4 linked regions of the Drosophila melanogaster genome follow. The protein of the gene in region 1 interacts with the protein of each later gene in a pairwise test. Each region holds a gene or a part of one and is shown in the gene's direction. Other genes may lie near its edges. The genes, in order: Neos, mmd, sov and TwdlB.

Region 1 (7,593 bases):
GTAACATCAGTTTAAAAAAAAACCCTTTTCAATACTCCACATCCAGAGCATATGCATCCAGCACACTTTCACCCCTTGGACAATCCGAATAGCGAGCTAGGCAATCGATTCCAGCCTGGCCAGCTGCTAAAGCCTCCTTGTAGGCCACATCCAAGCGCGTTTTACCAGGTCTATTAAGTTTATATAGATTTATAATTCTTCCATTCAAGTAATAGCATTCTAAAACTGCAACTTACGTGAGTAGAACGACTAGTAGCTCCGCCATGATGCCCACATGGTGATGCACCTGCGCATTTTCACAGATCCCTCGCAGCAAACAGTGACGACCTCGACCAGGAGATCCACTCACTTGGTCCATATAGTTCTCCAAGGCGGCATATACGAACAGGCGAGTGTCGTCCTCGTGCGTCTCATCCAAGCTCCTGATCTTCTCCTGCAACGAACGCGCATATATCGTCTCCCATTTGTCCCAGGGATATAGTGGTGCCGATGGCAGGGTAAATGCCCCGAAATGCAGCACATAGTAGTAGACCAAACTGCGCCAGACCACGGGATCCTCGAGCTGAGTGGACAGCACGGGACCCACTACCAAACGGATGGTTCCTCCATTCCGGTAGATCAACTGATGCCTCTTCTGGCGCGCATGCATATACTCCGTAATATTTTGGCCAACTGGAGCAGCTACTAACATATACGCACTCCTAACCACAGGTAATGAACAGGCCAATAAATATATCCAAGAAACCAGTTGCATTGTGTGGAAAAACGTCTGTAGGTGGCACAATAACTTTCGAGAATGAAACTCACTGGAATCGATACCCATTTGTGATGCTGAAAATTAAAGCATTATGGACTCAAGCAATTAGCATCCAAATTGGGTTATAAAGACATCCAGATCTGCTTTACATTTTCGTTCTGCATAATTAATTGGGTAAATAATTACAGATACATTTCTACATATCTTAAAAACACAATTCAAAAATTCTTTCTTAATTTGAACTTCTATTAACATAAGGAATTTATTGTCATGTGTATTTATTTAATATTATGTCGTCATAGCACATTGATTTATAGTTTAGTATTTATATTTTACATATACAAAACAAGAATAAAATGTATATTCCCGCAAAATTTAAAATATCGCTTAAGAAATCCCTGCAATGTTTTCTATGTTCTTACCGCCATTTCTGGTATTTCAGTGAATGTACGCAACTGGTCACTCTAGTATTATTAACTAACAAAATAAACAATAACATAACCAAGGATATAAAGGAAACTGTAGAGCAGCGATGAACGCCGTGATAGCGCTGTGCCACTTTTGCGAGGCGCACGGTCCCTGCGCCATCTTCTGCACCCAGACACTGAGGGACACCAAGCTGGAGGACCTGTCACTGGAACAGCAGACGCAAAAGACCTGCTCCGCCTGCAATTACTCCATGGGCAAGAATAACAATGCGATCTACAGCAGGGACACGGAAAGCGGGGCCACATTCGTCAGCACCAAGGTGGCGGTGCTGCCGGAGGTGGCCAGTCTGGTCAAGCAGGCGGCGGTGCTCAGTCTGAGCAATGGTACGGATGCCAGCAAGGATGGCGAGTTCGTGTTCTTTGGCGATTCGTCCAGGGGTCACATCCTGAGTCACACCTTCCGAGTGAGCGACCTGCAGGCCCGCGGCTACTCGCAGCTGTTCTCCATCATTGTGCTGATGAAGGACAAGTATTTCCTGCTTAACATCAAGCCCTTTCTGGCGGAGCACCTGAAGAAGGTGTCGTCGGAGCTGCAGGCAGCTGCCAAAAAGACCAAGGAGACGGAGGAGCAGACGTACTCAGAGCGACAGAGGCGTCTGTCCGGCGCTCAGTTCCTGATGCCCACTTCCCGTGCCTTGCTGGAGCTAACAGGCGAGGAGCACATCTTCGCCCAGTTGCACTCACACTTCTCGTGGCTCCTGCTAGCCGGATCCCGCTTCCTCACCGAGCACGTGACCTTCGGCAACCTACCGTGGCTACCGCCACAAAGTAGTGGCCGTCCTCCCGCACAGCGACTCACCTACAACAGTTCCACACTGCCAATGATAGAGAGCATCGACGATCCCGATCTGGAGGAGTTCTTCTCGTTGCGCCATCTCAAGAGTGTCGTCCGCAAGGAGGAGTTTGCCACGGTCTGCTATTGTGCCTTGACTGGGGTGAAGATTGTGGTCAGAGGTGATCCCAGAAAGACCTTCCGTTTCATGGTCTGCCTGAAGAAACTCCTGCCCGAGCCCATGCACAATCTAATGCGAATCGATGCCCAACATCAACACTCCATCAGCTCCGAGTACAAAATCATATCCGTGTCCAATGACATAGCCGTGCCAATGGCCAGTAGCTCCGTTTATCGGATCGATTTTCTGGACAAACACGTCAACGGACACGAGGTGTCGGTCAAATGGCCAGGAGAGCTGCCACGAAAATGTAAGCTTCACATCCAATCCGTTCCCGCTTTCACTGATAAAAACGAGTCGGGGATATTGATATTGATTCTATTGATTCTCCCACTTTAGTGCCAGATCTTATGGTGAAACTTTTAAAGGCGGTGGAGGAGAAAAACTTCACAGAACTCGTGCTGAACAAGCAGACCAAGGTGCTCATCGAAGAGTGGAAAAAGTGAGTAGCCGTCCTATTTTGCTGCACAGATCCGAACTCAATTGAATTCCATCTACAGCAAAGTGACCTGCCTCAACCATGCCAAATCCACCAGCGTGCAGGGCAAACTTAAGAAGGTGCTTGGCGTGCAGCCGCACGATCAGCCGATTATTAACTACTGGAGCACACACCTTCACTAGTACAACCGATTACCGCACAGATTAAGGACTTTCTTTTTCACCTTTTGGAATAAAACTCTTTTATTGCCGTGCGATGGCGAGAAAAATCATTATCTTAACCAAAAGGATGCCGAATCCAGTCCAGTCAGCCAGTCGCTTACTTCTTGTAGCCGCAGCTGGAGCGACGACCACGAGCACGCTCGAACTTGCGTCCCTTAGAGCGGACATAGGGGCGGGTGTGCGAGTGGGGCACACCGGGAGCCTTGCCGAAGTGCTTGCAGGCGGTGCGGGCGGTACGCCTGCCCTGCAGCAGCAGCGTGTTCTTGCCGGTGGGCGATCGGAGAGCCAGTTGATCGAAGGTCAGGACCTCACCGCCGGCCTTCAGGATGCGCTCCCTGGCGGTCTGCGTGACGTGCAGGGCGCACACGGTGAGCTTGGGCACCACCAGGAGGCGGGCATCGTCGGTGACGGTGCCGACGACCACGATGGTAGACTCCGGCTGGTTGGCGGCCTTGAAGAAGCGAGCGATGCGCTGAAGCGATAGCGGCGGCCTGTTGATCTTGCTCATGAACAAACGCTTCAGGATGATGCGGTTGAACTTCTTGTTGGTGCGGCGCTGAAGGAAGCGGTACAGCTGCGGGGGCAAACAAAGAAAAAAAAACAGATTAATCTCCACATTCAGCTGGTAGTCAACGCCATCGAAAGCCTCACCTTGACCAGCAGGCGCAGGTACACATCCTGGGATTTGGGCTCGGTTCTGCGAACCTTGCGATCGTACTTGTGGTTGATATCAATACCCTGCAAACGAAACACACGTATTAGAACTGGTGTTTATGATCGGAAAAACAATTGGTCGGCATTCGAGCGTATGTTTACTACATATCCATGGAACCGATCAGTTAAACTGCTTATTTCATGGTATTTTAGCTTCACAAACTAGATGCCGCCCACACAAATTTGTTTTTATTTCATTCCGTCGCCAGGAAGCTTCGCAATGCACGTGGGCTGAGCCACAGTTGGCGTTTTAGGTTATTTGTCAGTTTCCTGCTGGAATCATTGCCGCACTTTTATCGGTAACCCACCATTTCTTCTGTTGAATGTATTAATCAACGCTAAAATAGAGAATTGGACATTAATTTAAGCTAAAAACGTGGAGCATCAATTTCTTGCACGTACCTCGCCGGAAACGAAAGCCAAAAGAAAGAAAATAGTGTGGCTGCACCGATCACAAGCAAGACGCTAAAATATCCAATTGTGCTGTTATGATAACAGCGTGCTGTTAAGGCGCAAGCTTCATTTATTTTCTAAGCGATATCCTAAGTTTATAAACAAAATTTCTAGCATTAATAATACTGTGGGTAAAACTTCCAAACCTCTAAATCAAATTAAAACAAAATTATATGTGAAAGCTCTTATTTGCTTGATATACAAGTGTGGCAACGCCGCTAATAACATCATTAGTATGACCATAGGATTTTTTTTTAATATTAGGGGGGTACAACAAAATATTAATAGTATCTGATTTTTTACATGGCATTTTTGTAAATTGAATTTCTAATAAGCAAGTTAATGCAAGAAGGTTCGGAAATCAAGCGACCCTTTTTTTTTATTAAAACTGATGCCAATTCTGAATAATAACTATTCAGCGGTGTGTATTTTTGCATTGCCTCGTCGGGTCACACTAGAATCTTCAGTTTCGGGTTTGTGTGCAGTAGAAAGCTTCAAATATCTATGTCTGATCCAGGAAGCGCCGGCTACAACATAACCAAGGATCCGGCCCTGGCAAAGAGTCGAATCTTCTTGGGCAACCTGCCGGTTTGCACGCGCGAGGAGCTGGTGAGCATTTGCCAGCCATATGGCAAAGTGCTCGGTTCGATGGTCCAGAAGAACTACGGATTCGTGCAGTTTGAAACGGAGGAGCTGGCCAATAAAGCCGCCTCCGCCCTGCACAAGTCCACTTTTAAGCAAAACATGCTCACCGTACGCAACGCCAGCATTAAATCGAAGGCGGCCAATGCTATCGCCAAAAGAAATTCAAATCAAGGAGGCCAGGTGACAGTTCAGGGTGGACTTGTGATGTCAGCGGCGGCAGCGGCAGCAGGTCAACCCCTCATCAATGATTGCGAGATCATAGTCCAAAATCGCGAGAATACGTAAGTTATGATCCCCAATACCTTATAACTCCAGACGATACTCATGGCTTTCATTACCTGCAGCAAATACGCAGAATACATTGAGGAGCGGCTAAAGAATTCCAGTCTGCGCGTGGATGTACTCTTTCCCAACGAGGACGTCTTGCTAGGCAAGGTCCTGGCCAACATCTCTTCGCGCGGCTGCTTGTATGCGGTATTGGTCACGCCGCAGCACGAGGAACACAACAGCATCACAGTAAACATTTTGTATGGCGTACCCGCTGAGCATCGCAACATGCCGCTGGAGGACGCCATCACCCTGATCTCCACCGATTTTAGGCTCAAAAAACAGCGCGACGCTGTCGTCTTACCGCCGTCAACATCCATACACAAGGGACAGCGACGACATCCCCAGGAAATGCAGGGGCTGCTGGAAAGGCTGGCAGACAATCATCCATTGACCGCGTCGCAGTACGAGGTGATTCTTAAGTACCTCGAAGGCGAACGCGAGGAGCAACTGAAGCGAGAGGTGGGCGAGGCCAATGCTCTGGCCAAGCTAAAAGCTCCCGATCCAGAGATCGAGCTGCAGAAGAAGATTCTTAGCATCATGAACAAGCCGGCAGTAACCGATGTCACCAGCGAGCTCATGTATCCCACTTTCGAGGCAGTCAAGGAGGACAGAAGGCTAATGGAGCTACTTGCTGACGATCGAGTGTTGGCGGCCCTGGAAAGTGTTTACAACTCGGATCTCAGACAGATTTTAGCCGAGTATTTATAGACTACCAATACTTAGTAGTATTCATTAATTTTAGCCATTAAGCATATTTAACATTTAATAAATGTAATACCTAATATATATGACGTAAATCTCGGGCTTCCAGAATGCATTTAATAAGTGTAAGACATTAACAACTAACAATTGGCTGTTTCTAAGGCCAGGATCGCTTGGCTTCGTGTCCCTCGTACTTTCCACGGTACTTGAGACCGGTGACTAGGGTGGAGCTCTTGGGGAAAGCCGTTTTGCCGTCGAATTTGGTATCTGTCTCGGGATGGAATCGCACGTACTCGTACTGGATGTGCAAATTCTCCGGCAGCTCGATGCGCTTCAGTGCATCAAACGGCACGGTGGTGTCCACAGCTGTTTGGTAGAAAGCGATAACATCGCTGACGGTGCGCAGTTCATGTACCTGGGAGTTGGGCACTCCGTGCTGCAGCTCCTGGAAGCACGCGTTCAGGAATTCGAATTTCTCGGAGAGATTCCCCAACTGGTCGGATTTCAGTTGAAGCGAGGCGGCTACGGTTCGAATACGTTCGGCGGCATCTGCAGGTGGGGAGTACGGCTTATGGGGACGCAAGAAGCTACAATCAGGAGAATATTTACTTGGTTTTTATGTAAATAAATTAAAGAAAGTGCTTACCCCTTGGCGGCGATGGACTCGCCGACAGCTGAAATGGTGCTGGTTTTGACGGGCTTTGCTTTTGCGGCCTTGGCGGCGGAGGCAAAACTCCTATGCAGGCTTCCCGCAAGCTAAATTCATGGTGGCATTGGATTTTAAGTGAACATTTTTATTATTTTTTACTTACAATTAGGGTTTTACGTAAAATCGCTGCCATTGGATGTGACCAGATTGAAAACAATGCGGCATGGCAGTCAATACTGAAAATATATTCACTATACTTACAGGTAAGGAGATGGTAACACAAAAATACTGCATTGAGCGTTGCCAGGTGGACTCACTGTTTACCCACTGTTAAATTTATAAACAAACTTAAAAAAAATGAAAACATTATGAGTATTGAGTTATTTTTAGTCGAAGATCTATCTCATAATAGTCTTTCTTGAAACAAATTTTAGTTTAAGCAACAATAAGTGATAGGATTTTATTTTAAAAATATATTACCTCATCAATTTCAATTTAAATCTAAATTCGACATAACTTTACGAACGATAACTTTATTAAATTGCGTGGCAGCTCTAAGCTTTTGTCGATAATAAGGTCCTGTTATTCAATTGATAAGTCCTGCTATCGCGCCAACTGTTATTTTTTTATAATTTTGCATTGAATAATAGTTTTAAACTACATTGGTGTTCTTTATGTAGTATAAAACAGTATGGACAGGACAACAGTTGTCCCGAGTCCGGCCTCCACCTACTGCTCCTTTATGGGTGGCTCCCAGCACTCCCCATTGCGGCGATCACAGCGCCTCATCGACAAGGAAAACCGGGATCTGCAGAAGATTCCGCCCAAAAGTCTTTCTCCTCAGTTATTTGGAAACACTGAAGATGATTACAGTGAACTATTGTTGCAGCAAGGGAAAGTGGTTCACCTGAAGCCTGCAGCTAAGTTGGTGCCCGTGAGATCCTCGGATAATCTAGTCCATCTTGGATCCCGGGATAAAGTTGTCCCCTTGAAAACTTCCAATAGAATCGTTCACCTGAAGCCTCCATATAAGATTATCCACCTCAAAAGTTTAGATGAAGTTGAAAAGACCGTAAAGAAGAAGAATAATATTCAGAAAGAAGTTCATCAAAGGAATTCACAAAGGAGAAGCATTCAATGCACTCCCAAAAAACGTGGTCGAAAACCAAAGCAACCGGCTAAGAAACTGCAGTCAAGAATTTCCACCGATCAGCTAGGAAGCACACCATCGCCATCCAAGCT
Region 2 (8,766 bases), on another chromosome or scaffold:
AGGCATGGCGAAATGATGTAAGTTAGTACAAATGAATTTACAAAACTTATAAAAGATCTCGAAAAGATTGTATGAATATTTGTTCCGTACTGACTGAAAGGTACCGAATGAAAAACGAACCAGATTTAGGGCATTAAATCATGGCCAACTAGGAGCGCTGGCTGTGCAAGGAGAGGGATAACCTCTAGGAGCTCCAATCCCAGCTTCAAAATTTGTCAAAGTTTCGAATTTTGAAAATCAGCAGAAAGCAACATAACCTTAAACAGAGCTCCACGTTTTTATTTAATCTAGTTTCTTTTCGTCGTCGAAGTAAACTGACCGCAATAATGTAAAGTAACTTATCGAGGTACTTAGAATCTGAAAGAGATGAGTTTAATTGTGCAATTGATATATATATATATATATATATTTTTTTTTTGTAGACATACGGCCGTAAAACTCTGCAAGGACAACGTTGAGAACTTGAAAGCCGTAATCCTTACAGGCTGTTGACTGCAGAGGATCATAAACCAAATCTGGTTTCGGATTCGCTTGGTTGTTGGCGTGAACGATTGTATCTCAATGCGATCGGATCCTTCCCACTGGCATTCATACAGAATTTGCGCTGTTAAGGTAGACTGTTTATCGGAAATAGTTTATTAATATATTAAAAAAAAAAACAATCTACATTCTTGCCTGTTTTATCAATGCGTCGCCATTCTCGCAAAGAACGTATAATTGTGAAAGGGCCGAGGATATGTAAATTATGAACTTCACATAGTCTCCAATGAACATATTTTTTCCCTTATGAAGTTTAGAAAGAAAAGCTAGTCATTATATTAAAATATTTACTGCCAATGCTTACAGTAACTATTTGAAAGCCAACCATGCAAATAAGTACGGAGGAAATCATTAGATTGGCCAGTAGAATTGGGTTGAAAAAGTCCTCGAGGCGCTTAGCAAAACTATTGGCAAAATCAAAGTAACATGTAATGGAATCATTGTAATAGAGTCGTTGTAATAGAATCATTGTAATAGAATCGTTGTAATAGAATCGTTGTAATAAAATCATTGTAATAAAATCATTGTAATAAAATCGTTGTAATAGAATCATTGAAATGAATCATTGTAATAAAATCGTTGTAATAGAATCATTGTAATAGAATCGTTGTAATAGAATCATTGTAATGAATCATTGTAATAGAATCATTGTAATAAAATCGTTGTAAAAGAATCATTGAAATGAATCATTGTAATAAAATCGTTGTAATAGAATTATTGTAATAAAATCGTTGTAATAGAATTATTGTAATAGAATCATTGTAATAGAATCGTTGTAAAAGAATCATTGTAACAGTATCGTTGTAATAGAATCATTGTAATAGAATCATTGTAATAGTATCGTTGTGATAGAATATTTGTAATATAATCGTTGTAATAGAATCATTGTAATAGAATCATTGTAATAGGATCATTGTAATAGAATCATTGTAATTGAATATTGGCACGATACCAACCTGATAATATTGTTGTGTTTTTCCACAATACGTTTGAGTCGCTCCAGCTGAATGCTCTCGGCCAATTCCGCATTGGAACCCGCAAATAAACCTGCGATTCGTTGGTGTAGCAAATGAAATTGGCCACAAGTGTAGGTTATGAAGAAGCCAAGAATGGTGTCCTCTGCAAACAAGGTGGTGACCACACAGATTCCCGCGTAGGAGGTGAAGATGTAGGTCATCACATATCGGATCCAACTGCTCTGGGCATCGTACGGAAAGATCATCTTGTAGGGAAACGGCTTGTTCTGTGCATCGAAGGCGGGTCCAAAGAAGATCTCCACCAGCGGCAGGACACAATACATTATGATCAGGCACGCTAGCAAGGATGTCATTATGCTGAAGGTAACCATGCGTCTGCGACACTCGGCGGCAACATTGTTTTTGGAAGAACTGGAACCCATCATATATTTATATATGTAAATAAAGATTTTCTTACAAATACAGTTTGAAGATGGGTATAGTTACTCAAAAGTCTATATTATCTCAAAACCACTTTAAGTGTCCAAAAGCATGCTTAGAAAGCAAAGTTTGCTCTTTTGCACACAACAATGTAGCACACTTTTCTGCGCATTTACTCAAGTAAGATTGCAAACCTCTATAGTTTTCAATGCTCTGCAGTTTAATGCGATGATCATTTAACATCGCTTATAATAACCCTAATGAATCGACTCACTTAGGTATCCAAATTTCGTAGGAAAAGTTCTCAATAAGCTGGCGGAATTTCCTCTGATTGAGGCGAAGATGGATGAGTCGGACAAAGTTCAGGACACCCATAAAGGTGGTGCAACAATTTTCCGTGGTGATAATAATGTCCGAAAGGTTGTTCAGCAAAAAGGCCGTCTGATAGCTGATTGTTATGCCCACAGATGCAATGACGTACCACGCCCACACGATGTAGGCGGTGGCCAATAAGGATTGGCTCCTCCATGGCCTCGATGATTCGGTTAATGGCCAAGAACCATTCAGTTTCAGCCAAACGCACTGAATGGGAAAGCTAAGTGCTTTGTAGGGATACGAATAGAACATGACTATCTGATAAATGCCACAGCACTAGGTACATCTTAAGGCATTTCTTTCATTTATAGCTTACCAACTGCGCCCTAAAATTACCACTTTTTTAATCATTTACCCTAATTGCACAGTAAATATTTTAGAAAGCGTTTGCACACAAGGCATATACTTACCACCTCATTAAGTGCCGAATATGAAATTTTGATCAAACGCATTTTCCAAGGAGGTGTGTGCCTGTGAAATCCATTAAACTATACTACTTGTGTGTATTTTAATTTTGCTTTATTTTGAAGAACAAAGTGCGTTTTGCTCTCGAAAAATAAACAGGTAAACAGGTGCACATATTTCAATTTTGTTTTCAATTTAATATATTCAAATTAAAAAGCAAAACTAAAAGTATAAACATGCAACCTGCGCCTGAAATCCGTAACACTTTTAGATATATATATATTTTTTTTTCAATTTCTTATACATATTATTTCATTGTAATTTTCCATGATTTTCCATTTATGTATGTTGGCTAACAATGCGGTCTGTATTTATTTTTAGGCTTTCATTCGCCCAAACTTCATTTCGAAACCAGTTAATTTAAATCAGGTCACTGCTAGCTGGGCGTAAGAAGGATATAGCTTCATTCAATTAGACGACGGGGGCGTGGCCAATCTGTGGCGTGGAACAGTGTGGACCCAGTTCTCTGTCCATTGTTCTGGCCAAGATCTCGACGGCCAGATAGACAGGCAGCCAGACAGAGATACAGAGAGACAGACAGACACGGCTAGATGGAAACGTATGTAGAGGCGTAGGTGTATACTACACTTCCTTTTACAATTACGCACCTTTGCACGAATACAATATACCCTTTTGCTCCACATAACGGACATAAACAGACGTACCCGGATTGTAAGACTCGTTGGGGCCAAGGAGTGGATTTTTTTTTTACCGACTTTCGGCGAGAGAGCCAGCGGCTGAGTGCCGAACACCAACCAACATCCATCCGAGGACCAAAAGGATGTGGCCCACACAGCCCGAGAGAGCCAAGATGCTGAATTGTGACGTGACAATAGAAGCGGAGAGCGAGAGATGTGGCCACTCGGCTGGGCTTGGTTTGAGATATATTGGTATGGGATGGGATGGCCGGGATTGGGAATCTCCCAGTTGAGATTCCGGTGCTCTGCGACTGCGTCGTATTTGGCTGACTGAAGAATGGCTGGTCGACTGGGTTGGCTGCCTGGTTTGCCTCCGGTTGGAGGCAATCGTTTTTCGCCTGGCCAAAATCCTGCAGACGTGTTCGAGAGCTTTAGAACGTTGTTTGCAATTGCGGAAAGCGGTTAGCGAGGCACGAGACACGGCGATAGTTTTTAATAGAAGAAGCAGCAGCAGCAATAAAAAAATAAAATAAATTAATACAAAAAACACAAAAAACATACAAAAACCAAAAAAAAAAAAAAACAAACAAACAAACAAAACGAAATACGAAAGCAGCAGAAAAGAGTGCAGATGCAGGAAATAGCCGTATAGTTCGCAGCCAGCGGAGCAATAGTTTATTGAGGAATAATCCCCGAGTCGGCGCCCAAAAAGATCCAACAAATACCCCAGAAACACAACTGAACAACCAGCCCAGGCAAAAGTATATACATATATATATATATATATATATATATTAACAAAGAAATTCGTTTTCAAATCCCAACACACCGTGAACTTAGAATATATATATATACATACGCGTATATATATATGTATATATATATATATATGGAAAAAAGTAAAAGAAAAGAGGAAAAACGAAATGCCGAACGGGTGGGCAAAATGTGAAAACCCAACAAATAACTACTCAGAATCAAATGTTTGATATAGTAACGTAACGAAACGCAACGCAACGCAGCTCTAAAATCGGCTACTAAATCAGCACATTCAAATCAAATATGGAAAATACAAAAATAGAATAAATATATATATATGTCTATATATGTGCACATATATGCGTGTATATGTATATGCTGATGGCGTAAGGATGAAAAGATCATAAAATACATATTTTATGAAAATTTTTTGCATATTTTTTTTACTGTTTGGCCAAAATAACAAACTGAGTGTGTTCATAAAGCAGTACAATGTAAACTTAAAAGCAAACTTAAACGCAAAACGGATAACAAATAATTCATAACTACTCTCCAACTACTGTTTCAATGGATTCTGGTTTTGATTTTTTTCGAATTTCCCGAATTTCCATTGGTGAGTACCGCAATTACGTTTATGTATTTTATATCTATCAAAAATCGCTACACATCCCATGCATATATATATATATATATAGTATATTTCGGTATATGTACATGGCCTCAAGGATTCCAAACTCTGGCAGATGGAACTGAAATAGTTTGGCTAGCTGGATAGTTGGATTGCTTTATGGCCGTAATTATACGGGGGAGGGGAAAATGTATACTTGGTCCAAAACACACACCACATGCCCAACATACTTACTATTATTGCGAATATGGTCCAACTCCCGACTCTCGAGCGGAAATGAGGCGCGGCTGACTGCGCATGACCAATGAATAATAGCGATACAGAAATGCTTTTATCCCACACTTTGTATTCCAATGCATATCTGGATATCCTCTCTCCATCTCGACGTCTCACCGTCTCTCCATCTCGTCATCCCTTCTCTGTCCATGCCGCTCCATTGGCATGCGAAGGAATTTGGAATTTTTTTTTTTTTTTTTTTTTTGGCAAAAGGACTCTGGCAATTCGAAGTGTGTCAGGACATCATCGCCTTTTTCAGCGTCGCTTGCAATGGTGCGCTCCTCCACCAACGCCAACTGAAGACACATTTGTTCACAATTATTTGGGGGTCTGGGCATGCGTTGCCATTGACCCATCTAACCACCCGCAGTTGTGCACGGCAATTCAAATCTCAACGTGCCCCAGTGCTTTCGATTGTTTTTAAACAATTAAATCCACCGCATAATCCCATGCCAGCCAAACGAAACACGTAACCGGATTTGAGATGATGGCAAAGTGATTCCAGGATGATTCCCCCTGCTGAGTCCTTGAGTTTGTGAGTTCTCGTTTAATGGTTGGTTAACTCGTGAGAAATCTGCGCTGGCAGTAAAGTAAACAAGCAGCGGGCAATTTGTTTATCAATCAAAGAAATGGTGTCGGAATTCCGCATTCGCGAGTGTGACAACGCCCAAATGTTTGCTGATCCATAAAGGAGAAGAGCTCCGCGATTAGATCGCCCTACCTACCACCACGCATCCTTCGAAGCTCGAACTTCCCTATCGTTTGGTAGCACATTGACTCCAGATGGACTTATTGGGGGCACAAATCAAAACGCGGCAAAACAATGGGGCAAAGACACAGATTAGGTCAAATAACAATGCTGCTATACACACGAAGAAAAAGGAATGAACTTGTGAGGGAAACTAAAGATGAATGGTTTGAATACAATACAGTTTTCTTTGCATACATTTAACGGACTGAAAAAAATCTTTTAAAACTGGTTATGCTAGGGAAAACATTATTTTTTCATATCCTGTTAACAAACATTTGGTATTTGATTAGTTTCCGGAATCCTTGAATTTTTCTTCGAGTGGCAAACTTATGGCTCTGCACCAGATTAGAAGCCATGACCTACGATTTGATATAATCAATCAAGGCTTGACTTGTTGCCTGTTCAATAAATAGTCAGGATATTCAGAATTCACAACAGTTGAAATCATTTACAAAACGCGGCTTTGTATGAGTAAATCTTTTCTGCGTGTGTAAAACTACAAAATGCTGCCCAATGCTAGTGAGTCAGATACTGCCAAAAAAACTTGTCGGTATCATGGAGTGAGCCAACTTTTTGAGAAACATAATAATGAAAGTTTTGTCAAAACGAATAAATTGGGAAACACTATACGATGGAGCTTCAGCTTTCCGTGCTGTTGTTACTCCATTTGATCGGGAATAGTTTTAATCAAGTTTTAATTGGCAAAGTTGCACAATGAGTGCAATCATTAGTCAGCAGACAAAAAATTGTGTGGCTGGCAAGAGGAATAACTCATTTTATTGGCCCACAGATCCACATCCGCACACATGTCTGCAGTTCCCATCTTTGGAATGCCGTCTAGTCGGAGGCTGCGCATTCGGTCTTTGGAGAGCCAGCCAGCCAGCCAGTCAGCCAGCCAGCCGACGACCACGACTCTCGCGTCCTTAATTTTCATCCCTTTATTTATTTATTTTCCTGTCAGCTGCCGCTGTCTGGTGTGTCTGCCCAAGGTTTCTGTTTCGCATTCTGTTTCTGAATTTGAATCTGAATCTGAGACTGAATCTGAGACTGAATCTGAGACTGATTCTGAGTCCGTTTCGGCCGTGGACGCCCACGACAGCGAGGGAAATATGTGGCCATCCGGAGAATAGATTAACAGGATACACCAGTAGTTAGGGACCTCAGCTCATCTACTCATCTTCATCTTCATCGCCCCTTCATCATCATCATGGGGGCTCATCTCATCTTGGGGCTTTAAATTATGCGACTTGAGTTGTGTTTGTTGGTAAGATGTTGTCATATGTATGCGACCAGCCACTTGGCCTGGAGAAGTACTCATCAAGGTGCCCAAAAGTATGCCACAATGTATTTAAAATGTGCATTCTCAACTCTTCAAGTTCCTTATGCTTGGGAATTGCTTGGGTGGTGTGTTTCTGAAAAATGGTCCATATATTTGTAATATATCATCAGAGTTATTAAAGCACACGAAGAACTGTCTAAAAGTATGCTACAATTGTGCGCAATTATTATACTATACTATGTCTGTTGGTTTAAACTTAACTTATGAAGGTTTCTAAAACTTCTAAAAGTATAAATAGTTAAGTTAAAATATTTATATGTAAAGCATACCATTTTTTCTGCTACAAATATAAATTACCATGTTTATACAATACTTGCATATATTATTTATGCCATATTAGCTTAGCACTTTTGACCGGTTTTTAAACGAATGACATAAAATCATTTGCACTAATAATGTCATTGGCTGGTGAATAAACTTTGTTTGGATACAGCTTTCTATTGGTCGAAGTTGCTTGTTTATTACATTTTTAAAAGTATATAATTGGATTTAGCTGAAATTTCTTAGATAATTCAAACACTCTCGCTTGCCATACGCAAATTGTGATATGCATTCATCTTTTTAATGCAATTAAATGTTATGACAAAACTTTGAAAATAAGTTACTTCTCAGTTGTTGTTTTATAAATTGAAACCATTCTCGTTGTTATCCTTTTCGTTAGTCCTTTTACTCCTTGTAATTTTCCATGTGGGCCACTGTCGCCTCCTTTTGCGGCAATAAATTTACTCACTGCCTTTTCGCCGAAATGACCCAAATTTCAGGATGCCCTCCATATAAGGGAAAATTCAATAAATTATTGCTAAGCCTTTGGAAATTGTGCAGAACCTGTTGATTCTGCAGCCGCCGCAACTAAGCGCTTAATTAAATTTTAGTCGGAATTTTCACGTATATGTATACGCATTTGATATTTTGGAAACAGGCAAAGTCAAAAAAAAAAAAAAAAACTTATCATATATAATATTATTGCCAATAAGATACTATTTATATTACGTTTTATTGAAGTCGAGCACAATTTCAATATCCCTGGATTGCATAAGCTTATGTTTGAAACAAGTAATTTGAAACTGATTGCTTGCTGGGGCAAAAGAGAAATCACAGTAATTGCAGTAAAAGCAAACATTTAATTTGCACGAACGAACACTTAAACAAATTAGCTGACTACACTTAGAAAAACGTATGATACAAAACAAAAACATTACTCGAATATCATTTGAAGCTAAGTGTAAACTACATTTAAGAGAAATTGTCACAAATTATATATTTTTGAGAGCGATTCTAGCTTCGAGTTTCGCTCAGTGTATGCAATAACTGGCGTCAGCAGCGCAGCTTCCAATTTTCCCCTTTGATCCTATAAATTATGTTCGGTTCTGCTTTTTAGTCTCTGATTATCTTTCGGTGCATACGATTGCTGAATTCTGGACGGACGAGTGAATTTTCGGATAAATCCATCGGTGTGATTAAATAAACCATATAAGGTGCAACATCAGTTCTTTTTTTTCATGTGACTACTTCAAGAAGGTTAAGGCATCCAAAGCGGGCGAAGCCGATAAAAAAACAGTTGAGAAATATTCGAAATTAGTGTTGCTTTTTGGAATCTTGTT
Region 3 (8,787 bases), on another chromosome or scaffold:
GTCCTTACCGTAATTATGGCCGCACTGACCGGAACCACTTTGCGGGAGCCGGAGCGCAAGGCCATCGGTGAGGGTGACCGCCAGACGTCTAGCGGCAAACCAGTGAGCCTGTGGCAAGTTATCAAGAATCCGGCAATGATCATGTTGATGATTGCCGCGTCCATCCGTCACTGCGGTGGCATGACCTTTGCCTACAACGCCGATCTCTACTACAACACGTACTTCCCCGACGTGGACTTGGGCTGGTGGCTCTTTGGGGTCACCATTGGCATTGGCAGCGTGGGTGTGGTCGTCGGTGGCATTGTGTCGGACAAGATTGTCGCCAAGATGGGCATTCGATCACGCGCCTTTGTATTGGCTGTTAGCCAGCTAATTGCCACACTACCAGCCTTCGGATCGGTCTACTTTGACCCGCTGTGGGCCATGATCACGCTGGGCCTGAGTTATTTCTTCGCCGAGATGTGGTTCGGTATTGTCTTTGCCATTGTTGTGGAGATTGTTCCGCTGCGCGTTCGCTCCTCGACCATTGGCGTCTTTCTGTTTGTGATGAACAACATTGGCGGCAACCTGCCCATCCTGGTGGATCCGGTGGCCAAGATCCTGGGCTATCGCGGTTCGATCATGATCTTCTACGCTGGATTCTACGGCATCAGTAAGTCGGCTTGATCTGGCCACTTTTGGATACCAATATTACTAACACCTCTGGTCACAGGTTCTATTCTCTTCTTCATCACCTGTTTCCTGCTGGAAGGCAAGCCTGATGAGGTGGGACAGCCGGAGTCGCCGAAGAGCCATCCGGATGCCGTGCTCAATGCTCGCCACATGCACGGACACGACAACTCCGTGTTCTCCGTGGACGAGACCTTGCCCTCCAACGGACGTCCTGCCCAACTTCCGCAGCATCTGCAGATGTCCAGCAATGGATACGACAAGTCCCAGATTTCTCCGCCACGACAAAATGGCGCGGAGAGCAGTAGACTATAGATTAGCTTAAGCTCCGGAGTGTTTTTTTTTTTTTATTAATTAATATTATGCAATTTTTATGTTAGGTTGTTAAGATACCTGCTTCAAATTCGGCTAACTGATAATTCGATATCTGCTTTACATCAGATATCAGTTCTTAACAAATATGCCCGAATCCGGAGCAGGTGTCCTTGCACCCAGCAATCATAGGCCTAAGCGATGGATCCCCGAGATTCCCGCAACACTGTATTTTTAGCGCGATAACTGTGTACTTAATTCGCCAGGCGATTACAAGTGTACAACTTTAATAAAGTGCTGTTTTGTTAACATAAATTGAGTTCGACACTCGCGACACTTTCAGCTAAATCAGAGGTGCTTTGAATTGTGAAATTGGCAGAAAAAGTTGAACAAAGGATAGTGCTGCCCTTATATTGAAGGAAAACAAAATTTGGATGCGGCTATAAAAAACCTTAGACCATATTCCTACACTGCCAAAAACCAAATAATAGCAGTTAAATACGAACCTTATATGCCACGCCAATCTCCCAGGTAAGACACCTCCGGATCCACCGGTTGAACCACAGACATATTAACACCCACATATCCTTCGCCACCCATCCATCTCCCTTTAAAACAGCTTTCATTTGTATATAAATAAATTTTTCACTTTCACTCTAAACCGAAATTCTATTTAAATCCTAATTATAAATATAAAAAAAATCAAGATGCTATCTTTAAAATTGTAATTAATACCAAAATTTCCGGCTTTTTACCCATAGTGCAACGTACCAGTTTCCTTCAGTATGACCATGTTGCATCTAAGCCAAAAAGTTTTGTTTGTCCATAACCATCGATAGCTATCGATAACTAACTTAATAAAATAGTTGCATGTATGACAACAACATCAAAGTACGTGGCTTAATTTCTTTCATTTCTATGCCTTATGGCCAGCTCCTTCGAGTAACATCTACAAAAAAATAAGAAAAATTTTCTCCCCGAAACGAAAAACCCTAGTTTTTCCCAACTTTCACTTACGACGAAAATCATCGCGGCGAATTGCAGACACGTAGCCTTGGCAGAGTGAGCATTTTGCTCTGCTATTCGTGTCTATCGTATTCGCCGGCAATTGCGCATTGTGAGACACGGGCATAGTTCCCTCACTTCGGCGTCAACTTTGGAAGTGTTCGGATCGGCTCGTATTTCGACACCTCCGCAGACAAGGCCAAATTGCTGAGCATCGCACAAAACTCCAGAAATAACGGAGGAAAGTAATCTAAAGTGAGTACAGTTGAATATTACTAATCAAGTGGTAGTTGTAATAACGGGAATGTGCATCAACGACGAAAACAAAAACGAATTGTAGAGGCCAGCAAAAAAGTCGTGCTCTTGTTTGTCTTTGTGTTCGTTTGAGTTTGCGTCTTATGTGGACGAGCTTTTGCGACTGTGTTTGTGTGTGTGTGTCTGCATAAGTGTTCCGCAGAACTTATCGTGTGAAGAATCCAACCGCCGTTTATATAAACATTCTTCCATAAATCATTTCTCGGACGAGAGCGGAAAGGACGTTTACAATCAATAATGGCGTATTGCGAGCTCTACTATGAAAAGTGGATTTAAGTTAATCGCGTAATGATAACTTCGTTTCTTTAAATGTTTATACACACATTACTAACGTTACTAACTTTTTTTTTTAAGTACTGTGGTGGAAGGAAACTCTTCTGACCTTATGTAGTACATAGGATTTTAACCATGACTATTATGTCCGTTTTTCTGTCCGTATGAACGACCTAAAAAGCTGAGATAGGAAACACATTCTAATGACGAAAACGCGACACAATGATTCGATACCAACGGTCAAGGTAGTGCCAAAGACAAGATGCGTAACGCTATACGATTTTTTGGCACACTATTTTTTCGCCATGGCTCTAGAGGTGGCTCCAGGCTCTCTCGATTTTTTGTTCGAGAGCGAGAGAGCGGAGAGCGCTACAGCAAACAGCTCTTTTCTACGCATACAGTGATAGTTATTATAGTGTGTTTGGTAGTGCGCACTAGCGCACTAAAGGCTGAATGCTACATTTGTGTCGCCAAAAACCGATGTTTCAAAAGTCCAAAATACAAAGTGACCCACTTTTTCTAAATCGTTGGAGGAGAGAATTCTGTAGTCAAATCCCCGACTATCAGATACCCGTTACTCAGCTAGTGTGAATGCGAACGCGAAATTTCATCATTTTTCTGGGATATCGAAAGATATTGGGGAATAAAATGAGAAAAAATTTTCCCAAAGTGACCGTATTGGCGGCTTTATGGCGTTAGAGTGGGCGTGGCCAAAAGTTGTTTGCCAAACCGATAGAAATTTACAAGTCTAATAAAATTATGAACAAATTTCGAAAAAAAGGTTCAAAAGCGTGGGCAATTTTTTGCGGTTTGTGGGCGTTAGAGTGGACGTGGCAACATGGGTCAACAAACTTGCGCTCCGTCCATGTCTCTGGAATCTGTATGTTGAATCTCAACCTACTAGCTTTTATAGTTTCTAAGATGTCGACGTTCATACGAACATACGGAAATGGCCAGATCACCTCAGCTATTAATCCTGATTAAGAATATATATATTTTATATAGTCGGAAAGGCTTCAATCTGCCTGTTACATACTTTTCAACGAATCTAGTACCCTTTTACTCTTCAAGTAACGGATATAATAAAGAAATAGAATAGCAAGGATGATCTGTATAATTTTTAGAACTTGTAAAAGGCAACGAGAGTTACTTTGTCACAAAATATGGATACCTTGCCACATACTTTATTTTTAGGAAAAAGAAAACTACTTGAGAGTATCAGATTTGGAAAATGAAAGGCACTTCTGACCTTTTTTTTTTAATAATATCTGTAAATGCACAAATAAATGCAGTGATTACTCACTATGTGCATAAAATACTTATTTAAATCAAGCTTAAAGTAAATGCTTATACGTTTTAAGCATAGCAAATGGACTTTGATAGCTGATAGATAAAAGAATCAAGCTAAGTTCCGTATTCTATCCACAAGAACACCGATTGGTTCATTCGTAAAGGAATGTAGTCGTTTTGCTGAAAAAATCCCATCGCTACTCGAGGGTTACCATTTGTTGTTGGTTTTGCGTGGACTGAGTACTTTGACCTTGTACTCTACCTACTACAATGAAACCACAAAAGTAAACATGGATATTTTATTCCTCAAATGAAAGAAATGATGATAGTGCTACAGTAATAGTTATCAAGGATAAGAACAACATGCTTCCGTCGTTGCGAACACATTTTCAGATTATGTACTAGACCTTCCTGTGCTCCAACCCTATTGATTTATATTAAAAATCAAGGTCATAATAAGGATCGCGATTGGCTTGGTTTATATCAGCTGGTGTATCAAGACTTAAATGGCACACAGTGTTTGGTATTCGCCGATCGACGAACCAGACCATGAGTCGTGTTAGAAGTATTGTTCGTAATACTGTGAAGTGGCGCCTACTAAATATGTTTTGTGTGTTGGAAGAGTTCAAACTGAAACGGTACATAAGTTTAATTATCCCATTATCCCATACAGATATATTGTGATAATGCGGGTTAAATATGATTAATGATCAACAATAATAGGGTTGGATGGTTTCAGTGTTGCTCTTCTAGGCGGTCTGTTCTGTACTCTCGATCAGCGCGTACTGCCACGTCGATTTAGAATTCTTGGCTTCCTTGGGCTTTTAGATATGCGCAAGAGTCGAGTCGCTGAAAGTTTAAATGTGTGTGTGTGTGCGTGTGGTCATCGTTTCGTAGAAAACTAGGTAGACGCTTCCCGTTTATATTATTATTGTGCTATCTGCTTCGTTCTGTAGGTACGGGATTTGTGGACGGCGTATGTATGGAATGTGCTTATGTCTCATGTTTGCTGTTTTATTTACGCTATCGATCGCAACGTCGAAAGATTGTTTAGTCTGCAAAAACAATAACAACAGCGAAAAAATCGATCGTCTTACGCACCAATACAATGACACTTGGGCACTGCCAAACGCACACAACTGTCGCGTGCGGCGAATTCACTTCGACTGAGTGGGTGCGCGAGTAGTGATGGCACTTTAGAATTATCGATAGTCCGTTGTGCAAATTTGTGAGATACTTGTTTTGTTGTTTGTTAGTTTTAAAAACAATTAGGGATTTTAGTAATGGGAGTTGATTTGCGGGCTGCATCGGGCTGCATCGCAACGTACTATAAAGATATTTTATTTCCGTTTGGAGTTATCGATTGTTATTGAAACCACCCGCCTCGGATTCGACGCCACAGATGTTGTTGTCATTCCTTTGACGACGCCGTTTTGTGCTGCCTCCTTTAGAAACGTTAATTAAGTTCCAAGAAATGAATGGAAATGTGTTTTATTTTATACATTGCGTATTCTTATATAAGAAGTCGCAGTTTTGAGGGATATTCATGGCGCACTAGTTGTGTTCGTCCGGTGAGTGATGTGAGCGGAAAGTGTAGGAAGTGCTGAGATTGAAACCATGCCGCATAGTTAACCAATGTAATAAATAACACCAAACACCCTCAGAAGAGTCGGATACGAACAGTGCCTGCTGCAAAATGGAGGATAGCGAGGACGACGTGGTGGTGGTGAGCTGCGATACCTCGATGAAGGAGAAGGTAAAGGCCAAGCTGGTGGAGATCCGTAAGTTTGTGCCCTTTATCCGGCGTGTGCGAATAGACTTCCAGGATACTTTGTCCAAGGTTCAGGGTCATCGTCTGGATGCCCTGGTTAACCTGCTGGATCGCGAGTAAGTCATGGACCAAGGGACGCCCACCAAACTCGGTTATCCATCATATCCACTCCTTCGTTTCAGGGACGTATCGATGAGCTCTCTTAACAAGATCGAGGTGATCATTGATAAGCTAAGGACGCGCTTCAATCCGGTAAGTCGAGTATGCGCCACAGCTATGACCACATCTTCACGTTCTAACCCTAATTTTCGGTCTGTAGAGGATCGAAATTGACACTGGCGAAATCATTGATATCACTGAAAACACTGAGTATGATTCCACTGCGTCGAGTTCCTCCGGGTCAAGCGCACAACCACCAGCTCAAAGAGCGAAGTCCTCAGATAAGGGTGGCCTGTTGAACGGCTCATCTCTGGCTGGCAGGTTAAATGCTTCACTTAACCCCGCATCAGATGCTACCAAGGACCATCTATCGACACCAAAGCAACTAGAATTGGAGCGCAACTCTAAAGTCTCTTGCTCAACTTCAAAAATAAAGACTTCTTCCATTTCTGCCAAGATTTCAGTTTTTCCAGCCACTTCAATGGATTTGAACATCCCAAAAACTACCAGCGCCAAGGCATCGGATGAGGGGCAGCGGTCACCTGCAGAACCACGTGCCGCCCTTCAAGCTATAGTTCAAGATACGAAAACACCAACCATTCCAGAACCAACATCACCAGCGGCGCTTAAGCATTCCTCCCTTCGTGGCAGTCGTGGATTTCTGGCTGTCATGCAGAAGGCCTTAATTGAAGAGAAGAAGCAGCGAGCTAGCGAACAGAAAACTGATAAAGAAACTAACGGTGTAACGCAGCTAGAGACAAACTTCTCGCGGCGATCTTATACAACATCGTCACAGTCAACCTGCCGTTCTTCAGAAATATCGGTAAGAGCAGAAAACCCAGATTTTAAGCGACGAAGCACATCGCTTGTGCAGCATGCTCCTCTACAGGAGGCCTCCCCAGGGCAATCCAAAAAAGACTTGCCCATATCCTTGTCGGTACAGGGTCTACCAGCTTTGGTCAGTGCCAGCACTGCAAGTCCAGCAAATACGCTTGAGGAGGCCCGCAAGAAGCTGGCGGCCTTGAAATATGGACTAGGAACAACGGTACCAAGCATGCCTCCACTGGCCTCCAATATAAATGATCCACGCGGTAGAAAAGGAATAAACCTGCCTGAAACTAACAACAATAAAGACAACGACTTGGGTATAGCGCTGCAATCCCCGCCGCCTATGCGGACTCCCTCGCCTATTCCGCCGCCACCAAGGATGAAGGCCGGTACGTGGGCCTCATTTTCAAATGTTCCCCAGGAAAGCGCATTTACAGGCCAGCATGCTGTGCAGCGCAACTCGGTACCTCCGGGAGATTCTCGAGCCTTTGGGGATGCTTTGGCACATGAACCAAGGTCCTTCTATGGCACTGATTCCCGAGAACCCCGAGACCCTCGTATCTGGAAGAGCAAGACTTCCCAACAGCAGCAACATCAGCAGGCGCCACAGGCACAAATTCCTCCGTATTCCAGTGACCCGCGTCGTTCTATAAGCACTTACAGCGGTTTCGAAGAGTCAGCCAATAGAGGGCAAACTAATAGTAAAAATAATAATAATCATAATCAGAATCAGAATGTTACCGCCAATGGAAGTGCATACATTGCGAACTGGAGTGGCAATCCATATGGAAACGGTCCAAACCCAAGACCGCCCTTTCCTAGCAATCAAAACGGGAATGAATATGCTGGTGGTTTTAATGGTTCGCATAGTTTCAGGGGCGGATTTCGCGGCGGTCACAACAAACGGGGCTTTGGACGACACAATGACGTGCCACGCACATATGGGGAACACCGCAAAGCCAAGGCCCGTGCTGAGGCGGAGGCCAAGGCTAAGGCTGAGGCGGAGGCCAAGGCTAAGGCTGCGGCGGAGGCCAAGGCTAAGGCTGCGGCGGAGGTACGCCAATTAGAAACGGAAGTTTCGCGGGAGATGGAAGCCCAAGAAAAAAATAAACAGCAAAAGGAAAAGCCGGAGGAGAGCGAGGCGGAGAAGTCGACGATCGCAGTGACTCAGGTTCCGGAATTGGACACCTCCTACCGCAACGTTAATCTGGGGGTGCTAAACAAGAAGCTAGACTTTCGAATACCGAAGAAAACCCTCCCACCGGCAACAACAATAACCTCAACAAGTCCAGTCAATGGTAATGGGGAGAATCCAAGCTGCCCCTCAAATTCCCCCACAAGCAAAAGCTGTGATGCCAACCAGGACAAAGATACTTATAAGAATAAAGATAGGTATTTAAATAAGGCTAAGGCTAAAGACAAGGTAGATAAGGGCAATGAGGTGTCGGAGAACAATCTGGATAAGTCTGAGAAGCTTGAAAAATCGCAGGATAAGAAGGCAAATGACAAGGAGAACAAGTCCGACAAAAAGGAGAAGAAGAGACTGAACAGGGAGCCTGAAAAGAAATCAAAGGTTGAGAACCCCCTCGAGATTGTGGACTCGAATAGCGTGGTCAGTGAGGAAAGCTCGGAAAATACAGACAATGTGGAAAATGAACCGCCTCTTAGCGAGACTAACGCGTCTCCAGTTCCAGAGCTAGCTACCAGCACTCAGGACAGTCAACAGGACCAGTCAGTGAGTGAAGAGTTGGACATCCTTGCCAAAAACCGTAGAATGTCCGGAACTAGAATAAAGACTCCCATTTCGTCTACTGGAAACCCTGCACTAAAGCGACGGGCAGATGATGATGTTGAGGACAAGTTGGAAAATCCGACTAAAAAGAACTGCGCAAAGTGGGAGGCAAAGCCTGACAAGGAAAAATCGGAGGATGATACCATCGACAAGATTAAATCCATGAAAGTAACTAAATTCGCTGATGTCGAGATGAAGGTTACAGAAGAAAGCCAGAGTGCTGAGGAGGAGGAGATTACTGAGCAGAAAGAGAGTACTGAGGAGGAGGAAGGTACTGAGCATAAAAAGAGTACTGAAGAGAAGGATAAGCCGCCAAAAATCTCCAAGATAAAAATTGTCCTTACTCCCATTGCCCATACAACACAAGTGGTTC
Region 4 (7,329 bases), on another chromosome or scaffold:
TTCATTCGCTTAGCTTAAGATGACAAAACACTATCAAACGATTATTTTGTATGGATTACAGAAAAGTATCAGCAGAACTTTTGATGATGATATCCTTCTATCCAAACACAGCATTTTTCATATTGTTTGATTGCTTGTACGTTCTTCTTCTCCGTTTAAATGAGATTTTAAACTGACTGGACGCAAATATTCTGGCTCTTATATACGGGACTTGTATGGAATTCCCAGACTATTTAAAACAGGTTTGCCCAGAGTTCAAAGCAAGCTTCCGACATTCTTTTTGACTTTGAACCTCAAACTAAAAAGTCACTTCAAATTCTAGACCCACTTTCGATAGCAAAAAAGGCGACAAACAGAAAGCAACAACAAACCATTAACTATCAATGGAGTTCGCATAGATTAAGATTTTATCGTTTCGTAGGCGGAACTCAAAGAATGCATCACATTGTGTTCGACTTTAATGACCATCAGAACATTTTTGGACGGGCTCTGACTTTTTTTTTGGAAACGGGTTTGATAGTTTTGCAGCATTTTCCCCAATCGAATTCCGGGCAGTTTTGCCCCGGTCAAGAATAAATCGCGGCGCCATGAACCGGTCGAGAATTTGGCTTTTGCAATTGGGCAGAAAGTCGGGGGTCGCCGACTGGATGTATTGGCGAGAATTTTAGGATAGTTTGCATAATCATTTCATAAGCGCACCGCTTTGCATAAAAAACTAGTTGAGTTATGTAGCAACCCGACGGGAATGGTGTCGGTTATAGTTCTAAGTCGGTTCTAACTACGCCAGATGGGTATATAAGCTGCTCACCTCAGTCTCAGGATTCAGTCTTGGCCTTTGCCTGTTAAGCACACCCAGCCTACAAAACCAAACCTTCACCATGCGTTTCCTCATCGCTTTCTGCCTGATTGGTGCCGCATGCGCCCAGTACAACTACGGAGCGGGATTTACCGGAGCCGCCTCCGATAATGTTCCCAGTTACTCCGGAAGCAGTGTTGGCGACTCCTACGATGGTGCTGCCAGCAGCCCGGACTACTCGGTCTCCAGCGAACTGAACAAGGAGTACTACACCTTCGAGGCTGACGAGAGCCAGTTCGAGGATCCTCTGGCCGCCCAGAAGATCGCCGGCTCCGTGAACAAGGGACTCCGCGTGGTCTTCATCAAGGGACCCGAAAACCGTGGCCTGGAGAACGCTGCTCTGGCCCTCGCCAAGCAGGCTGCCGAGCAGAGGACCGCCATCTATGTCTTGAACAAGCAGACCGACATTGGAGATCTGGCCCAGAAATTCAATGCCGCCCGCCAGAACTCCAACCAGCGTCCTGAGGTGCACTTCGTCAAGTACAGGACTCCCGAGGATGCGGCCAATGCCCAGCGTGCCATCCAGTCGCAGTACGATAACCTGGGAGGATCCAGCCAGTCCATCAACGGAGGAGTTGCCAACGCCATCAACTTCGCCTCCGCTGCCCCCGTGGTTCCCGCTCGTCGTGGCCCCAACTACTCCCCACCAGCCGCCGCCACGAGCAACTCCTACCTGCCCGCCAACATCCTGCGTCGCCTGCGCATCCGTTAAGGACCGAACGAAAACCGACAGTTGTTAAATGTGTTGTATAAATGTAATTGAATAAAAAACGAAAATCGATAAAAACAAATACGCTTAGATTTATATATCTATTTTTAATCTAGATCTTCGAAGTTTCTGACTTTGTCATCGGCCATTGCAATTTGTTTGTTTTTTAATAGCTTTTCCTTATAATAACATTTATGCAAAGCTGAATTGCTCTGCGAGCCCGAACAAAAGCCGTTCGCTGCCTACTTTGTAGGCGGACAAAACATTTAGCAGCATCAGCGCTTTGTCTTCGAAAAACTGCGCCGCCAGCTTCGAAGTTGGGTTAGTATATATAGTTACCGCCGCCGTGGTCATAGGCAGAAGCAATTTGTGCTCCGAACCAAGAGAACCTCAAACCCAAAACTAAAGATGCGCGCCTTCATCGTAAGTGGTGTAGCCAGGACTTAAGACGAATTCACAACTAACGGATAACCCTTGAATCCTGTAGGTAATGTGCCTGGTGGCAGTCGCCTGCGCCGATAAGCTCGGCTACAACTACCAGCCCGTGGGACACTCCAGCTCCGGACTGTCCTTTGCTCCTGGAAGTGGCAGCATTGGAGGTGGATCCATTGGAGGTGGTTCGATTGGAGGAGGCTCCATTGGAGGAGGATCCATTGGAGGAGGCCTCATTGGTGGTGGCTCTATCGGAGGCGGTTCCATTGGAGGTGGTTCCCTTGGTGGTTCCATCGGTGGTGGCTCTATTGATTCCGGTCTTGGCGGTCTTGGTGGACTCGGTGGTCTAGGAGGTGGCGACGCTCTGGCCGCTCCAGTCTCCTACAACGCCCCCGCTCCCGCTGCTGAGCTCCAGAAGGAGTTCTTCACCTACTCCGCCAACGAGCAGGACTTCGATGAGCCACAAGAACTGGAGCGTGTTGCTGGATCCGTAAACAAGGGACTGCGCGTTGTCTTCATCAAGGGACCCGAGAACCGTGGTCTGGAGAACGCTGCCCTAGCCCTCGCCAAGCAGGCTGCCCAGCAGGAGACCGCCATCTATGTCCTGAACAAGCAGGCCGATATTGGAGATCTTGCCCAGAAACTGAACGCCATCCGCAACAACAATAACAACAAGCCCGAGGTGCACTTCGTCAAGTACCGCACTCCCGAGGATGCTGCCAACGCCCAGCGCGCCATCCAGTCGCAGTACGACCAATTGGGAGGATCCTCTCAGGCCCACAACGGTGGTGTGGCACCCGCCCTGAACTTCGCCTCCGCTGGTCCCGTCCAGAAGGCTAATGCTCAGATCCCTGAGAACGCTTACCTGCCCACTTCCATCTTCCGTCGTCGTTTGTAAATATTTTAACGACTTCGAGATGAAGGCGTTGACTGTTCTTGTTAAATCTTATTGTTGAAATCTATTGATAAATAATATACAAAAATCTGAATACAAACATTCTATGATATTTTATATTGGATGGTGGTGTAGTAAACAATAGTGTATACCTTCCGATGACAACATGAGTGGAGTTACAAGTTGGGCTTTTAGAAAATTATTTCAGTCTTTGGTGAGATTTTTCGACCTGTTTTTATTGCACAAAAAGTTTGGTAATGACTTTTAATTTGAATTTATTCTTAAAAAGGTGCAACGCTATTAACTTAATACAAAGCAAAAGACCTTTAAAACTCATTAAGAATTTGGTAAGCTATATTACCCAAGGCAGCTTCCCGATGACCTTGACGTTTAATATTTGTCATAACCAAAATATTATCCTACGAAGTACTGGGAAAAGAATAAAATAAAATATTTCCGCATATTTTAAATGTAGGCAAAATGTTTTTACGACAAAAAAGTTAAATTAAATATAAACATATCGTTTTCACCACTCTCAAGTTAAATTTTTTATTTCATTAGTAATATATGCGAAAATAAAGAATCAATGAACTGGGGGCGGCATTTCAAACATCTCATTAGACGACTTGCTAAATTTAGCGCTTGCATCATGTCCATAAATCAGAACTAAACAGATGTGTCGAAAACGATTATAATGACTAAACGATTGTCATTCAGTCGGAAAAACCAAGTGCAGATGTCCTACATAAAACAAGCTTTTAGCCTTGCCGAAGAATTTGTCAAAAAAATGTATTTTATATAATACTCGTACCTAATTATGACCCATCTGCATGTTAAACTCATTCCGACGTGCTCGCGACATATTAATTTTATAATTCAATATGAATTCTTGTAAACTATTGGACGAAACTCGAAATATTTGAATAACCCACGACGGCCAGACTCTGCCCATTGAAACGCAACCAAAAAATTCCACACCGAACATTAAAAAAAACAGAGGAAGCAAAAACCTTTGTAGGCGGCAAAACACAGTGGCTTCAAAGAAATCTCCGTGCAGCAGACGCCGCGGCGGTATCTTTGTCTTTATCAGCCTCCAAGATGGATTTGTATAAATAATAAAGATCGCTCCTAGCCAGAGACACAAGCAACTCATACCTCAAAGCAAAAGAACCAGCAATCTGCTTAAGATGCGCGCATTCATTGTAAGTAGCGCGGTTAAGGATTCAAAGGATTATACGCCAGGATAACACTTCTCTTTTCATGCCTCCAGGTCCTGTGTTTGGTGGCAGTCACCTGCGCCGATAAGCTCGGCTACAACTACCAGCCCGTTGGCCACTCCAGCTCCGGACTGTCCTTCGCTCCTGGCAGCGGCTCTATCAGTGGTGGATCTATTGGAGGAGGCTCCATCGGAGGAGGTTCTATTGGAGGAGGCTCTATTGGAGGAGGCCTCATTGGTGGTGGCTCTATCGGAGGAGGAAGCATCGGAGGTGGATCCCTTGGTGGTTCCATCGGTGGTGGCTCCATCGATTCCGGTCTTGGCGGTCTTGGTGGACTCGGTGGTCTAGGAGGTGGCGACGCTCTGGCCGCTCCAGTCTCCTACAACGCCCCCGCTCCCGCTGCTGAGCTCCAGAAGGAATTCTTCACCTACTCCGCCAACGAGCAGGACTTCGATGAGCCACAAGAACTGGAGCGTGTTGCTGGATCCGTAAACAAGGGACTGCGCGTTGTCTTCATCAAGGGACCCGAGAACCGTGGTCTGGAGAACGCTGCCCTGGCCCTCGCCAAGCAGGCTGCCCAGCAGGAGACCGCCATCTATGTCCTGAACAAGCAGGCTGATATTGGAGATCTTGCCCAGAAACTGAACGCCATCCGCAACAACAACAACAACAAGCCCGAGGTGCACTTCGTCAAGTACCGCACTCCCGAGGATGCTGCCAACGCCCAGCGCGCCATCCAGGGTCAGTACGACCAGCTGGGAGGATCCTCTCAGGCTCATGATGGTGGTGTTGCACCCGCCCTGAACTTCGCCTCCGCTGGACCCGTCCAGAAGGCTAACGCCCAGATCCCCGACAACGCCTACCTGCCCACTTCTGTGTTCCGTCGTCTGCGTTTCTAGGAAGGCTACATCTTGGACTCCATTAACTTAAGCAAATCTCGACTGAAGAACTCATTCTTCCTGTTACACGTTGTTGACTAATGCATAATTACACCAATAAATTTGAAATTTAAATACGAAAATTTAAACAAAGGTCTACCTTATGTGTTTTATAGAGTGAGATTTTTATTGCGGCTTGGCCATAGTAGCTAATGGTGCATTAAGTCCGCCTTGTTTGGCTTGATTGTTTGCGGATGGGTTAAGTATAAAAAGTGCCCTTCAAACTATAAATATCTCGAATTGACGACATCAAGATCAGGAAAGGCAGTTCGGAGCAGGTTTCCTTTATGAGTTTAAGCCCTCGTCGAATCATATTCACCTAGACTTTCCATACAAATCAATGGACTAATTATCTGACATAGCCAACTCGCATGCCGCCAAATTAATTGACTACAAGATTAGATCCACCCACTTGGCCAGCGGGAAGCATTAATACCGGACTCCCGGCCAACGAGGAACTGGTTCTTTCCCGACGACAGCTCAAGGTCGCGAAGATGCCAACAACTGTTAGATGACCTGGTTTCCGAGGCCCGTCGTGTGTCACGTACAATTAGAAAGGAATCTCAAGTGCAACCCACATACGAAGGCAATGAAGATTTATGCCCAATCGAAACCTGATTAGCCATAAAAACAAAGTCTAATCATTAATTTTATTAAGCTGACGATCACTTTTTTGTTGAAATCATTAACAAATAAGCGGTTCTGTATACATATTCAAGCAAATATAACAAAACAATCCGATTGAAACAGCCAAGAGATCGGTTATTTTTCTTTTATTTGTGCATAAATTATAAGCCAATTATGGGTGAATCACGATAGTTCGGAAAACGACTGGACTCGCAATCGGATCTTAGCTCGGACTCGGACTTCGATTCGGAATCTCATCTCAGTCGGCGGCACGATTGAAGCTGTCTTTTGCCCACAACAATGTGTTAAATGTGTTAAGAGCGAAATTATGTTAGCAGATTAACAGCATTCCGAAAACCCGATGGCCAATAGCCACTGGCCATTCGCGAGTCACGATTCGTGAGCGGAGATCGATGATCGCCGTGTTCCGCCAGAGGGACCCCAAAGTGACTAGACGGCTCAATTGACTAGATTTTCTAGTCTAATTTTAAACGTCGTCGCGTTGGCGGTATAAAAGGTAGATAATGAATGCTATATTATTCATTCGTCTAGAATATCTCGTAGGCATCGGGTCAATATGCGTGCCCTCATTATTCTAAGCATTGTGGCAGCGGCAAGTGCCGGTAGCTTGTCCGGATATAATTACGGACAAGGTGCGACAACCAGTATTGGGGGCAGTGGTGTATCCCCAGTCCCTGCACTGGCGGGACCAGTTAGCTATAGTGCCGCTCCCCAGGCGTCAGTTCACAAGGAGTTCTACAGCTTCTATGCCAACGATGACGACTTCGAGGATAAGGCTGCTCTCCAGAGGGCTCTTGCCTCGGTCAAGAAGAACATTCGCGTCATCTTCATCAAGTCGCCGGAGAACCGTGGCTACGAGAATGCCGTTTTGGCCCTGGCTAAACAGGCGGCCCAGCAGCAGACTGCCATATATGTGCTGCACAAACAGACTGATATCAACGAGCTGGCCCAGAAATTCAATGCCGTGCGCCAGAATGCCAACAAGAAGCCCGAGGTGCACTTCGTCAAGTACAGGACACCTGAGGATGCTGCCAATGCCCAGCGGGCAATCCAATCGCAGTACGATCAACTCGGCGGCTCCAGCCAGTCCATCAACGGTGGCGTGGCTAATGCCATCAACTTTGCATCCCAGGGAGCTGCTCCAGCACGCGTTACTCCTCAACAGGTGCCCCAGAGCAACTACCTACCCGCCAACATCCTGAGTCGCCTGCGTCACTAGAAAATCGATTGTTAAACGTTGTTTTCGAATAAAAGTTATCTAATTTGGTTATGTAAATTATTGTATTTTCATTTGGTTAATTCCTTTAAAAATTGACGAAAGCAACATAAGTATGCAACAGTTTTCAAAATAAATTGTATACCTATTTATAGCAGCGATAATCGAATAAAAACAGAAAGAAAGAAGAAAGAAGAAATAAAAATACTTGTTCAAAACCCAAGATCTCAGCAGCCATAAACTGGTATTAAATTTTGAATATGGTTAAAGTATAAACTAGTTCCTAAGAAATATATAAGTGCTTCTACTTATGTGCGCTTTCAAAGTTTGCAAGAAAATATTTCGCTGCAAATAAATCCGAACTTGCGAAGTTTCGTTCCCAATGAACTCAGCCTGCAAAGTTTTTTGGTTTTTACAA

Evidence for each region.
Region 2: the proteins of Neos (region 1) and mmd interact in a two-hybrid assay, tested with the Drosophila melanogaster proteins (one large-scale study listed by BioGRID).
Region 3: the proteins of Neos (region 1) and sov interact in a two-hybrid assay, tested with the Drosophila melanogaster proteins (one large-scale study listed by BioGRID).
Region 4: the proteins of Neos (region 1) and TwdlB interact in a two-hybrid assay, tested with the Drosophila melanogaster proteins (one large-scale study listed by BioGRID).

What each region holds. Positions count from the first base shown.
Region 1 is NT_037436.4:7,237,346-7,244,938, forward strand, and holds Neos (neosin), read left to right. Parts: upstream 1-4,282; 5' UTR 4,283-4,529; coding exon 4,530-4,951; intron 4,952-5,014; coding exon 5,015-5,708; 3' UTR 5,709-5,794; downstream 5,795-7,593. Other genes in the region: CG14829 (uncharacterized protein), read right to left, coding at 29-170, 237-754; BHD (Birt-Hogg-Dube), read left to right, coding at 1,290-2,448, 2,538-2,640, 2,699-2,819; RpL18 (ribosomal protein L18), read right to left, coding at 2,956-3,432, 3,510-3,596, 3,881-3,883; mRpL50 (mitochondrial ribosomal protein L50), read right to left, coding at 5,860-6,289, 6,349-6,458, 6,515-6,544; mei-P22 (meiotic P22), read left to right, coding at 7,043-7,593.
Region 2 is NC_004354.4:15,968,223-15,976,988, reverse strand, and holds the start of mmd (mind-meld), read left to right. Parts: upstream 1-3,921; 5' UTR 3,922-4,784; intron 4,785-8,766. Other genes in the region: CG42766 (uncharacterized protein), read right to left, coding at 1-6; Or13a (odorant receptor 13a), read right to left, coding at 283-357, 429-617, 676-783, 845-944, 1,497-1,928, 2,212-2,564.
Region 3 is NC_004354.4:6,754,460-6,763,246, forward strand, and holds the start of sov (small ovary), read left to right. Parts: upstream 1-1,862; 5' UTR 1,863-2,241; intron 2,242-4,150; exon of another isoform or gene 4,151-5,032; intron 5,033-5,277; exon of another isoform or gene 5,278-5,435; intron 5,436-5,528; 5' UTR 5,529-5,560; coding exon 5,561-5,751; intron 5,752-5,817; coding exon 5,818-5,887; intron 5,888-5,954; coding exon 5,955-8,787. Other genes in the region: CG14439 (uncharacterized protein), read left to right, coding at 1-652, 713-984.
Region 4 is NT_033777.3:26,620,247-26,627,575, reverse strand, and holds TwdlB (TweedleB), read left to right. Parts: upstream 1-4,032; 5' UTR 4,033-4,079; coding exon 4,080-4,094; intron 4,095-4,162; coding exon 4,163-5,008; 3' UTR 5,009-5,125; downstream 5,126-7,329. Other genes in the region: TwdlO (TweedleO), read left to right, coding at 879-1,568; TwdlL (TweedleL), read left to right, coding at 1,974-1,988, 2,053-2,895; TwdlP (TweedleP), read left to right, coding at 6,252-6,914.